Linked DNA regions of Canis lupus familiaris. The protein of the gene in region 1 purifies or fractionates together with the protein of each later gene. This does not show direct contact. Links are inferred from orthologs where the notes say so. Each region holds a gene or a part of one and is shown in the gene's direction. Other genes may lie near its edges. The genes, in order: FOXM1, G2/mitotic-specific cyclin-B1-like and MYBL2.

Region 1 (4,360 bases):
GGCCCCCCTTCTCCCCATCCAACACCACCAAGCCCTAACAATCTTACCTCTTACCTATGTCCTCAGTAATGCCTCTTTCTCCCTTCTCTTGCTCTCATTCTCTCCCCACCACCCTTCAAGTTCCAACAATTCTGGTCTGAAGTATCACAATAACCTAATGGGTCTACCCTAATCCACTCCAGCGCCCCCTGCAGAGGAAGCCTTTTAAAAATGCCTATCTGGGGGCACCTGGGTGGCTCCAACAGTTGAGCATCTGCCTTGGGCTGAGGTCATGATCTCTAAGTCTTGGGATGCAGCTCCATGCCCGGCTCCCTGATCAGCGGGGAGTCTGCTTCTCCCTCTTCCTCTTCCTCTGCCCTCGCCCGTTCCATGCCGTCTCTCCTGTGCTTTTTCTCTCTCAAATAAAATCTTAAAAAATAGAAATAAAAATGCAAATCTGATCTTGAATCACTTCTGCTTAACATTTTTGATTTTTGTCCTACATCCTCGGCTCCAGCTTCATCTCACCGCACACTGCACTCCGGCCTCTCAGCTCTGAGCCCGCGGCCGTCCTTCAGCCTTTGTCCACACCAATCTTCCTCCTGCCACACGGCCTTTGCGCACCTTCTTCCCTTTGCTTGGCGGGGTTCACGCTCTTCCTTGCACAAGCGCATCAGATCTCGGAGCAAGGTTCCGTTCAGAAAAGCCTTTCCTGACCTGCCGACGGCAAGATCTTGTCGATCCTGCTATCAGTGACCTCTCATTTATCCCTTCACAGCCGTAATCCTCCTTTTGCTTGCTGGAGCCTTCAAAACCGGCCTCTCCTCTTCCCGTGAGACTGCGCTGCGCGCACAGTGAGGAAAGAACCTGCCCCGCCGGCGTCCCCGCAGGGCCTGGCGCAGAGCAGGTGCTCGGCAAAGGGGGTCGACCGAGTGCGCCCGGGATCCTCACGGCGTGGCCTTTACTTTTAAGCGGGAGTTAGCTCAGACGAGCCGAGGGGCGTTCGGGCGGCCGCGGCCAGCGGATCGTTAGCGGAGGTGAGGGAGGAGCGCCCCCCGCCCCCCCCCGCAGGGAAGCCGGGCCCGGGACGCTGAAAAGGGGCGGGAGGCGGGGGGCGGGGGGCGCGGCGCCGGGGGCGGGGCGGGGCGGGGCGGGCTCCGGGAAGCGGCCGCCACGCGCGAGGGGGCGCAGGCCGAGGCGCCCGGCAGGGCAGCGCCGCCGCCCGCCGCCCGCCGCCCGCCCCCCGCCCCCCGCCGCCGCCGCCGCCGCCCGGGCTGCCCCCCGCCCCCGCCCGCCGCGCCCCGAGGGCGGCCCCGGCGGCCCGCTGCCCCTCCCCACGAGCCGGCCGCAGGCCCGCCTTACCCGCCCGGCGCCGTCGCGGCCGCCGCTCCCCCGGGCCGCCGCGTCCTGGGCCCGGAACGCGGAGACAAGGGCGGCCGCCGATTGGCGACGCTCCGTCACGTGACCGCAACGCTCCGCCGGCGCCAATTTCAAACAGCGGAACAAACTGAAAGCTCCGGTGCCCGACCCCACCCCCGGCCCCCGGCCCGGGACCCCTCCCCTCCCCTCCCGGGATCCCCCGGGATTCCCCACCCCTCCCGCACCGCCCGGGACCCGGCCGGCCTGGCGCGAGCCCCCGGCTCGGAGGAGCCCGGAACCCGCCCTCGGAGCCACGGCCCAGCGGCGGCGACTGCTGCAGTCGGGAGGTGAGCGGGGGCGGAGGAATGGAGTCCGAGCCGCGGCCCGGGCGGCGGCGGGGAGGCCGGGCTCGGGCGCCGCGGCCGGGGGGTCGAGCGGCCCGGCGCGGGACCCGAGCGGAGGTTTGGGGCCTCGCGGGACCAGGGCTGAGCGAGGGTGCAAGCCTTTTTCGCACCCCGCCTCCCGGCCTTGCCCTCGCTTCTTTCTCAGACCACCTCTCGGCCTCCCCTGGAAGCTTGACCTCTGCACCCTGCCCACAACTTGGGGAGGGCTGCTGGGGCGGCCTGCTTTTCTAGGCAGACTGTGGCTGGCGTGAAGACTGAGCTGCTTCTGCATTACATACGAGGCAAACGTGCCCGCAGCCTCCCAGCGCCCAGGCGCCCTCACCACTGGGCAGCACTGCCTCCTCCACTCCACCCTTTTCCAGGGCCCTTCCCCTGGTTCCTGAGCACCTGCAAGCTTTCCCTGGTCAGGATGGGCAGTGCTGTCAGAGGAGTCACCCTGGAAGTCCCCTAGGTTAGATCAAGTGTTGCCAATGATAGCAAGAGACTGGTGAGAGAGTTGAAAGCAAAATGAAGCCTTGGACCAGGAAGATCTCTTTTGGGGACAGGGGAGGAATAATAGTATTTACTGATTGGTGGGGAACGGAGGGAGGCCCGAAGAGATATGAGGGAGAAATAAAACTGATATTTGAAAGTAGAGGAAACCTAGTTATAAAAGAAAGGGAGGAGGCAGAGGGGAGAGAGCCTATGAACTCTAAGCAGATGGCAAATGTCATAGGACCAAGACAGTCATCTTTTGGGAGATAGTGGATGACCTAACACAGCCCATTCCTCTGGCCAGGAGTACGCAATTTTACATGATAGAGTATCCCGTGTATTTTTTAAAATCAAACCCAATTTTGTTAAAAGATAAAACTATTTTCCTTAGCATGACAAAACCACTTAGCCTATTGATGACAGGACATTCTCTTAGCAGATAGGGTTTTATTCTTGGTTCTGGAAGAGAAATTAAGCAATAGAGTAACATGCTTAGAAAGTTAAAATATGAATCAAGCACATGCAAACACTAAAATGTCACTATAGAAATATTTTGCAGATTGTGAAAGAAAAGTGTACTTTTTCTTTTGCCAGTGCAAGGGTGGTAGCCTGTGATATGAATAGCACCATGGGCCCTGAATAGAGCAGTTTCCATTTTCTTTGAGGTCTTGTGGAGGAGGTGTTGGCAAGGGAGCAATAGTACGATCTACCTTTCTCCTCTGATACTATGGGTGCTGATCCTTTTATTTATAAACTAATATGATATAAAAAAATATACAGGCTTTATCAATCCTGAAATAGATTATGGGATCAGAGAGGATTTTTTTTTTTTTAAGATTTTATTTATTTATTCATGAGAGAGAGAGAGAGGCAGAGACACAGGCAGAGGGAGAAGCAGACTCCATGCAGGGAGCCTGATGTGGGACTCGATCCTGGGACTAGGATCATGCCCTGGGCCAAAGGCAGGTGCTAAACCACTGAGCCACCCAGGGATCCCGGGATCAGAGTTTTGTCAGGACTTCTCAAATTGCCAAATGTCCTCCTTTCAGCATTCCTGCCCCTCGAGTCACTGCAAGCAGTCTGTATAATAATAAGCAATAATAGAAATTTCCACACTTTTGTAACTGTCCCATTCATTTCTCTAGCCAACATTCTTAAGCTTCTGGAAGACCTTTGGTCTTGTTGACCTATACTCAACCCAGTCCCACTTTCCCCTTTTGAAATGTCTAGGTTTAAGCTTTCTTTTGTCATAGAACTCATCTCCTTATTGTCTGATGTCTTTACAGAGGCCCAGGGATCATTAACCTGGACCCATGGGCTCTTGCTTTTGGTCTTGGAAAGAGGAACACCTCTCTCTAGCAATACCTCCTTCTCAGCCTAACAAATCTCTGACATCCTGCTGTTCCTTGCACTTTCCAGGGTCCGTACCTGTGATTCTCAATGGAGAGTGAAAGCACAGATTCATAATGAAAACCAGCCCCCGTCGGCCACTGATTCTCAAAAGACGGAGGCTGCCCCTTCCTGTTCAAAATGCCCCAGGTGAAACATCAGGAGAGGAACCTAAGAGGCCCCCTGCCCAACAGGAACCTGGTCAAGCACAGGCCTCCAAGGAGGCAGCAGAGTCCAACTCTTGCAAGTTTCCGGCTGGGATCAAGATTATTAACCACCCCACCATGCCCAACACACAAGTGGTGGCCATCCCTAACAATGCCAATATCCAGAGCATCATCACAGCATTGACCGCCAAAGGAAAAGAGAGTGGCAGCACTGGGCCCAACAAATTCATCCTCATCAGCTGTGGGGGAGCCCCCACTCACCCTCCAGGACCCCAGCCTCAAGCCCAAACCAGCAATGATCCCAAGAGGACAGAAGTGGTCACCGAGACCCTGGGATCAAAGCCGGCAGCTAGGGATGTGAATCTGCCTAGACCACCTGAAGCCCTTCCCGGGCAGAGATGGGAGAGCTGTGGTATGTGGTCTGCAAGGCAAAGGGGTGAGGAGTCCAGCTTTTCCTCTCTGGTAGCAAGGACTGCAGTCCATCAAGTTGATACTTCACAGACAGGCACCTAGCCTGAACCAGGGGAAAGTCTTGTCTTTCTTCCTCCCCAGTCGTTGACCCAGATCTTTTGGGCGCTGTCAAAAGTG
Region 2 (3,353 bases), on another chromosome or scaffold:
TCTTGCTTCACTACTTTCTTCCCTTGTGAATCTGCTCTCTACATAGTAAGAAAAGTGATTTACAAAAAGTAAACTTAAAGAAGACAAAGTTACTTAAGAATTTTGCTTCCGAGAAAAAAAAAGTTGATCTATTTTTCCTTATTTTTCCCCTTATGTACAATTTAAAACCCTGGACACTATGTATACAACAAACATCTGAAGACTCTAAAATGTGGAGAGAGGGCATATCAGTAGAAACACAGAGACTCAAGGAATGAAAGGGTGGTGAGTTTCCTAGGCTTTCTTTTTGCCTCAAATATTCCAGATTTGAAACTGAATAACTGGTAACCCAAAAAGACCAATACACACAAACAAAGCTCAAACAAAAGTCATACACCCATGGAAATTTGAGAGGAGAAAATATACTTGGAAATGAGAAGGGCAGCAGAAGCCAAAGAGAAGGATTTCGGTATTGAGTGTGTGTATTTCCTTTCTCTCCTCTTCATTCCAGCTCACTGCATTCCTCCTCCTATAGTATACATTTAGATTCCAGATCTCCCTGCTGCATCTGCATGCCAATACTTACACCATCACCACCTCGCTTGACTCCACCACTACCAGATAGGCCCCAATGTCAGAGGAAATACAGAGGCCAGGAATGAAGAAAAGGAGAAGTGGCAGGAAAATGCAAGGGCAGACAGTAAGATACTGAATTAACCTCTTAGCTTTCAAGAAGTTTTCAAAGTACCAATGAAGAAGGGAAAAGAGAGGGGTACCTAGGTGGCTCAGTGGTTGAGCATCTGCCTTGGGCTCAGGGCATGATCCCAGGGTCCTGGGATGGAGTCCCACATCAGATTCCCCACATTGAGCCTGCTTCTCCCTCTGCCTATGTCTCTGCTTCTCTCTCTGTGTCTCTCATGAGAAAATAAATAAAATCTTTAATTTAAAAAAAAAAAAAAGAAGGGAAAAAAGAGAGGAGAGACCTACAATGGTGTGGCTCTTCATACCCAAGTATACACTGAGTATTTATTAGGAGTTGCAAATTTACTACCACATTCAATTAAATGGAGAAGGTTTTATGAAAGACGTGAAAGAAGAAAGAAAGAAAGAAAGAAAGAAAGAAAGAAAGAAAGAAAGAAAGAAAGAAAGACAGACATGAAAATGTGGGAATTAACTGAAAGAAGAATTTGGTGAATTGCCAAGTTAAAGGAAATTTAGGAAACACTGCAAAGATGTCAATATATCAATTAAACCAAAAAGAAAACTGAGTATTCTCAATTATTAATACATGATTACAACCAATATTATACAAATATATTTAAATATACAATGAAATATAAGCTATATTATAATTACACATCAAGAAAAAACTAATTAGAGGTGCTGCGGAGGAACGGCTGTTGACCCGCGGGCCTCGGCTCCCGGCTCCCGGCTCCCGGCTCCCGGCTCCCGGCTCCCGGCTCGTCAGCGGCTCCCGCGCTCTCCTCTCCCCCCGTGAAGACGCGGCCATGGCGCTCCGGGTCACCAGGAACACAAAAGTGAATGTTGAAAACAAGGCGAAGATCGGTATGGCAGGGGCAAAGCAGGTGCCTCTGGCCTCTGCTGCAGCCTCCAAGCCCGGCCTGAGGCCAAGAACTGCTCTGGGAGACATTGGTAACAAAGTCAGTGAACAACCACAGGCCAAACTGCCTCTGAAAAAGGAAGCAAAAACTGCAGTTCCTGGAAAAGTCATTGCTAAAAAAATACCAAAGCCTCTGGAGAAGGCACCTGAGCCTGTCCCTGTCCCTGTGCCAGAACCAGAGCTGGAACCTGAGCCGGTTAAAGAAGAAAAACTTTCACCCGAGCCTATTTTGGTTGATACTCCCTCTCCAAGCCCGATGGAAACATCTGGATGTGCTCCTGCAGAAGAATATCTGTGTCAGGCTTTCTCTGATGTAATTCTTGCAGTGAATGATGTAGATGCAGAAGATGGAGCTGATCCAAACCTTTGTAGTGAATACGTGAAAGATATTTATGCTTATCTGAGACAACTTGAGGAAGAACAAGCAGTCAAACCAAAATACCTACTGGGTCGTGAAGTCACTGGAAACATGAGAGCCATCCTAATTGACTGGCTAGTACAGGTTCAAAAAAAATTCAGGTTACTGCAGGAGACCATGTACATGACTGTTTCCATTATTGATCGGTTCATGCAGAATAACTGTGTGCCCAAGAAGATGCTGCAGCTGGTTGGTGTCACTGCCATGTTTATTGCAAGCAAATATGAGGAAATGTACCCTCCAGAAATTGGTGACTTTGCCTTTGTGACTGACAATACTTACACTAAACACCAAATCAGACAGATGGAAATGAAGATTCTAAGATCCTTAAATTTTGGTCTGGGCTGCCCTCTACCCCTGCATTTCCTTCGGAGAGTGTCTAAGATTGGAGAGGTTGATGTTGAGCAACATACTTTGGCCAAATACCTGATGGAGCTATCTATGTTGGACTGCGATATGGTACACTTTCCTCCTTCTCAGATTGCAGCAGGAGCTTTTTGCTTAGCGCTGAAAATTCTCGATAATGGTGAATGGACACCAACTCTACAGCATTTTCTGTCCTACACTGAAGAATCCCTTCTAAATGTTATGCAACACCTGGCTAAGAATATAGTCATGGTGAATCGTGGGCTTACAAAGCACATGACTATCAAGAACAAGTATGCCGCCTCTAAGCATGCTAAGATCAGCACTCTGGCACAGCTAAATTCTGCACTAGTTCAAGATTTAGCCAAGGCTGTGGCAAAGGTGTAACTTGAAACATGCATTGGAGTATTGTAATATCTGCAAATAAAATTGGCACCATGTGCCATCTGTATATATTATATGTTACCTTTACTTACTTTTAATAAAGCTTGTGGTCCTTTTTAACTTCTTAAAAAAAAAAGAAAAAACTAATTAGATATATTTTCTAAGTTTTCATTTTTTTAATTTAAAAAAATTTTTTTTAATTAATTAATTTGTTGTTTAAGTAATCTCCATATCCAACATAGGACCTGAACTTACGGCTCCAAGATCACAAGTCGGATGTTCTATCAACTAAGCCAGCCTGGAACCCCTAAGTTTTCATTTTTAAGGTACAAATTAGTGTAACCGAAACTGCGTGTACTAGGAGACAACTAAAACCTTGAAATGAACATTTAAAATATACAGTCATTAGTGTATGCAATATCTTTTGCATATTTTAATCTAAGCTTTTCAAATTCTCAATACCTTTTGATAATATTGGCTAATGTTAAAGTCAAACTATATATCTCAGAAACCATATTCTAGAATTTGCGTACAATATCAGTACCTTTTATTTTGCTACACAATTTAATGCCACTTACAACTTTT
Region 3 (3,053 bases), on another chromosome or scaffold:
ACACATCAGCCCTGGGAACGGTGCTGTCTAGTTCCAGGCTGAGCTCAGGAATGGGGCTGTTGCCTACACAGAGCCTGCCCTCAGGACAGCACACCACACTGTTGATCCCTCCCAGCTGACAGTGGGGGGTTTTGCCCAGTGGGAGGCAGTGAGAGGGGTGGTGGGAGGCATGAGACAAAGGATTGCCTGATCAGATCCTGCACATCTGAGGATTTAGGACTGCTGCAGCCATAGCCCTCGCAGAGAAGCATCACTGGGCAGGGAGCCCCAGCAGGCTGGGGACTTCATGCTGTGCAGCCAGACCTGCAACAGACCTGCAACTGGGCATGTAACATACTTGCTCAGTAGTAAAGCTCTGGCAAGTACTTTAGAGCACAGGATTTGGGGTGGAGTGGACCTTGCAAAGTCCTAATGCTGGCTCTTGTTCTTTAGGATCTCTTAGTTTACCCAAACCTCAGGTTCTTGCCTTTGCCTTTCACTGTACTGAGCCCAGTGACTCTTTACCTTTAGGGTAAAGGTCAAGCAGAGCCGGGAGGCTGGATGGGTGGTGGGTGCTTTGTGTAGCTCTATGTGTGTGCTGGTTGATGCCAGCATCTGACTGCTTGTAGAGATTTCTAGTCCTAGGAGAAACTAGAGCACCCCCACCCTGCCTGAGGCTGTGGTGGGAGAGACCATGTCCATGTAAAAGGGGAGCAGCATTACTGGGCATCTATTAGTTGTCAGTCTCTGAAACGGGCACTTTACAGAGAATTCCCCATCTGGAAGGGGGCACAGGCTTAGAGAAGTTACTGTCCTGCTCCAAATCCTATAGCCCAGAGGTGGAGGTGCTGGGATGTGACTGGTTTCCTTCTTTCCCATCATGCTTATGGCAGAAGGGTGAGTCTGGCTTGGTTTTTGTTGCAGCCCACAAATGTCCTGTCGAGTTCCTCTAGCCTCATGGTGTCAGGCATCAAAGAGGACACCAGTCTGCTCAACGAGGGCTTCCTGCAGGCCAAACCGGAGAAGCCAGTGGCTGCCCAGAAGCCCCGAAGCCACTTTCCAACACCTGCCCCTGTGAGTGCTTGGCCACCAATGTCCTATTACCCTTGGGGACTTTGCTTATTTGTTGCCCGTGCCCAGATGCCCTTCTGAGACTCTGCTTGACTAGTTTACACTTCAGATCTCAGTCTGGACACTGCTCCAGATCCCCTTGGGGAGGGATCCCATCTGCTAGAGCCTCTACCCCCCTTTTAAGATTTTATTTATTCATTCATGAGACACAGAGAGGCAGAGACACAGGCAGAGGGAGAAGCAGGCTCCCCACAGAGAGCCTGATGTGGGACACGATCCCTGGACCCTGGGATCACACCCTGAGCCGAAGGCAGATGTCCAGCTGCTGAGGCACCCAGGAGTCCCCCCCGTCCCCCCCCGTCCCCCCCCCCCCCGCCTGTGAGCCCTTTTATGGTGTCACCTCACTTGTAATTAAGTCATGGTCTCCGTTTTTAGTTGCTTAGCACATGTCTGTCCTCAGGGGTAGGGGCTGCCCTGGCTGCTCATACCTCATTGTCTATATTTCATGAATTTCTTACTGCTCCTTCCCACTAGCCTGCTTGGCTGTAACTTTTCCTCGTGAGGAGGCTGGCACCACATGGGCAGGGGCACAGCCATGTTGCCGGTCCAACCTCTTTGCTGTATACCTAAGGAAGCCCTGAAACAGGAGTCACTTCTCCAGGGCCACTAGGGAGTTGGAGGGACCACAAGAAGACTTGTGGCTTGAAGAAGACCGAGAGTTGTAGAAATGCCCCCTACTCCTCCTGGCCATGCTCACATCACAGCATTTGCTGGGAGCTTGCTGCCCCTGCCTGGATGGTAACTCTCTTGCCTCCTCCCAGATGACCAGCGCCTGGAAGACGGTGGCCTGCGGGGGGACCAGGGACCAGCTCTTCATGCAAGAGAAAGCCCGGCAGCTCCTGGGTCGCTTGAAGCCCAGCCACACGTCTCGGACCCTCATCTTGTCCTGAGGGGCTTGGTGGTCACGAGCTCATTCTTATGTTTACAGGGGGCTGGGGGGACTGAGGTTGGTCTGTGAGTCTGAGAATCATACTCGGATGGCCACCTGCAGGGAGCCTTCTGCCACCAGCCCCTCCTCAGACTGCTCAGGTGGAGGCAGAGCAGGGCCACCCACTGCCTTGTCTCCGAGTCCAGCTGTGGCTGCGGTGGTTCCTGGTGCTAACAGAACAAAGTCCCACCCCTGGGCCTGCCTGGTCCTCTCCCCGGTGCCACAGGGAGTCCCCTTAGCTCCTCCTGAGCCCTTCTTGGGTCTGGCCTCATCTCAGACCCCTGCTTAGAACAGGGGATGTGGCCAGCATGCTCCTTCCCTCTACCTGTTAGTACATTTTCTTGAAAGAATAAAATTCCCTTTTTCCTTAATGCTGTTGTAGACTCTACCTTTCTCCTGTCTCCTGCTTGTGGTTTCCTGGTCGCTGGGTTGGTTCCCTGGTGACTGTCACAGGGGCCTTGAGGGATATGGAGATCTGGATCCTCATCCTCAGAGCACAGCCCAGGGCTGGGGCTCTGCATACTTTCCCCCAAAAGGTCCAGTGTGCTGGGGGCAGTTTGATCACCTAGTGGCTGTCTCAAAGTTCTGAGGATTCTTGGGTGTTAGCAGGGAGGGGAAGGTGCATCAGGACCCTGCTTGGCCATGGATGGCTGACCTGGCCTGCCATAGGCCTAGACACCAGGTGAGACTGGTAAACAAGGAGTGACTGGCAGCTGGCCGGAACTTACCACAGTGGCCTCAACTTGCCAAGGCCATGGCAGCAATCAGACCTTGGGCTCCAGTCCACCTGGTCAGGGTGCAGTGGGCCACTTGGCTGAAGCTAGGCACTGAAGTGGGGTAGGTGCCAGGTTTGAGAAGGTCTAGACAGGGAGGTGTTCAGCGGGGGGGGGGGGCTCATAGGATTTGGCATGTGGGGGGCCATGTCTGGGGGCCATTTGGCATGTGGCCATGTCTGGGGGCTGGATGGGTACTTGCCTATCTTTAGATTCTGCTTTAGTGCCTCTGGTTCCCAAGA

What was found.
Region 2: the proteins of FOXM1 (region 1) and G2/mitotic-specific cyclin-B1-like purify together in Homo sapiens (affinity purification with western blotting; 4 studies listed by BioGRID, with this or other methods). This does not show direct contact. The link is inferred for Canis lupus familiaris from reciprocal best matches to the Homo sapiens genes FOXM1 and CCNB1.
Region 3: the proteins of FOXM1 (region 1) and MYBL2 purify together in Homo sapiens (affinity purification with western blotting; 3 studies listed by BioGRID and IntAct, with this or other methods). This does not show direct contact. The link is inferred for Canis lupus familiaris from reciprocal best matches to the Homo sapiens genes FOXM1 and MYBL2.

Annotation. Positions count from the first base shown.
Region 1 is NC_049248.1:4,148,556-4,152,915, reverse strand, and holds the start of FOXM1 (forkhead box protein M1), read left to right. Parts: upstream 1-1,548; 5' UTR 1,549-1,685; intron 1,686-3,635; 5' UTR 3,636-3,682; coding exon 3,683-4,208; intron 4,209-4,360. UniProt on the Homo sapiens protein: Transcription factor regulating the expression of cell cycle genes essential for DNA replication and mitosis. Plays a role in the control of cell proliferation. Also plays a role in DNA break repair, participating in the DNA damage checkpoint response.
Region 2 is NC_049250.1:29,512,742-29,516,094, reverse strand, and holds G2/mitotic-specific cyclin-B1-like, read left to right. Parts: upstream 1-1,392; 5' UTR 1,393-1,487; coding exon 1,488-2,771; 3' UTR 2,772-2,793; downstream 2,794-3,353. UniProt on the Homo sapiens protein: Essential for the control of the cell cycle at the G2/M (mitosis) transition.
Region 3 is NC_049245.1:32,003,903-32,006,955, forward strand, and holds the end of MYBL2 (myb-related protein B), read left to right. Parts: intron 1-903; coding exon 904-1,053; intron 1,054-1,871; coding exon 1,872-2,000; 3' UTR 2,001-2,409; downstream 2,410-3,053. UniProt on the Homo sapiens protein: Transcription factor involved in the regulation of cell survival, proliferation, and differentiation. Transactivates the expression of the CLU gene.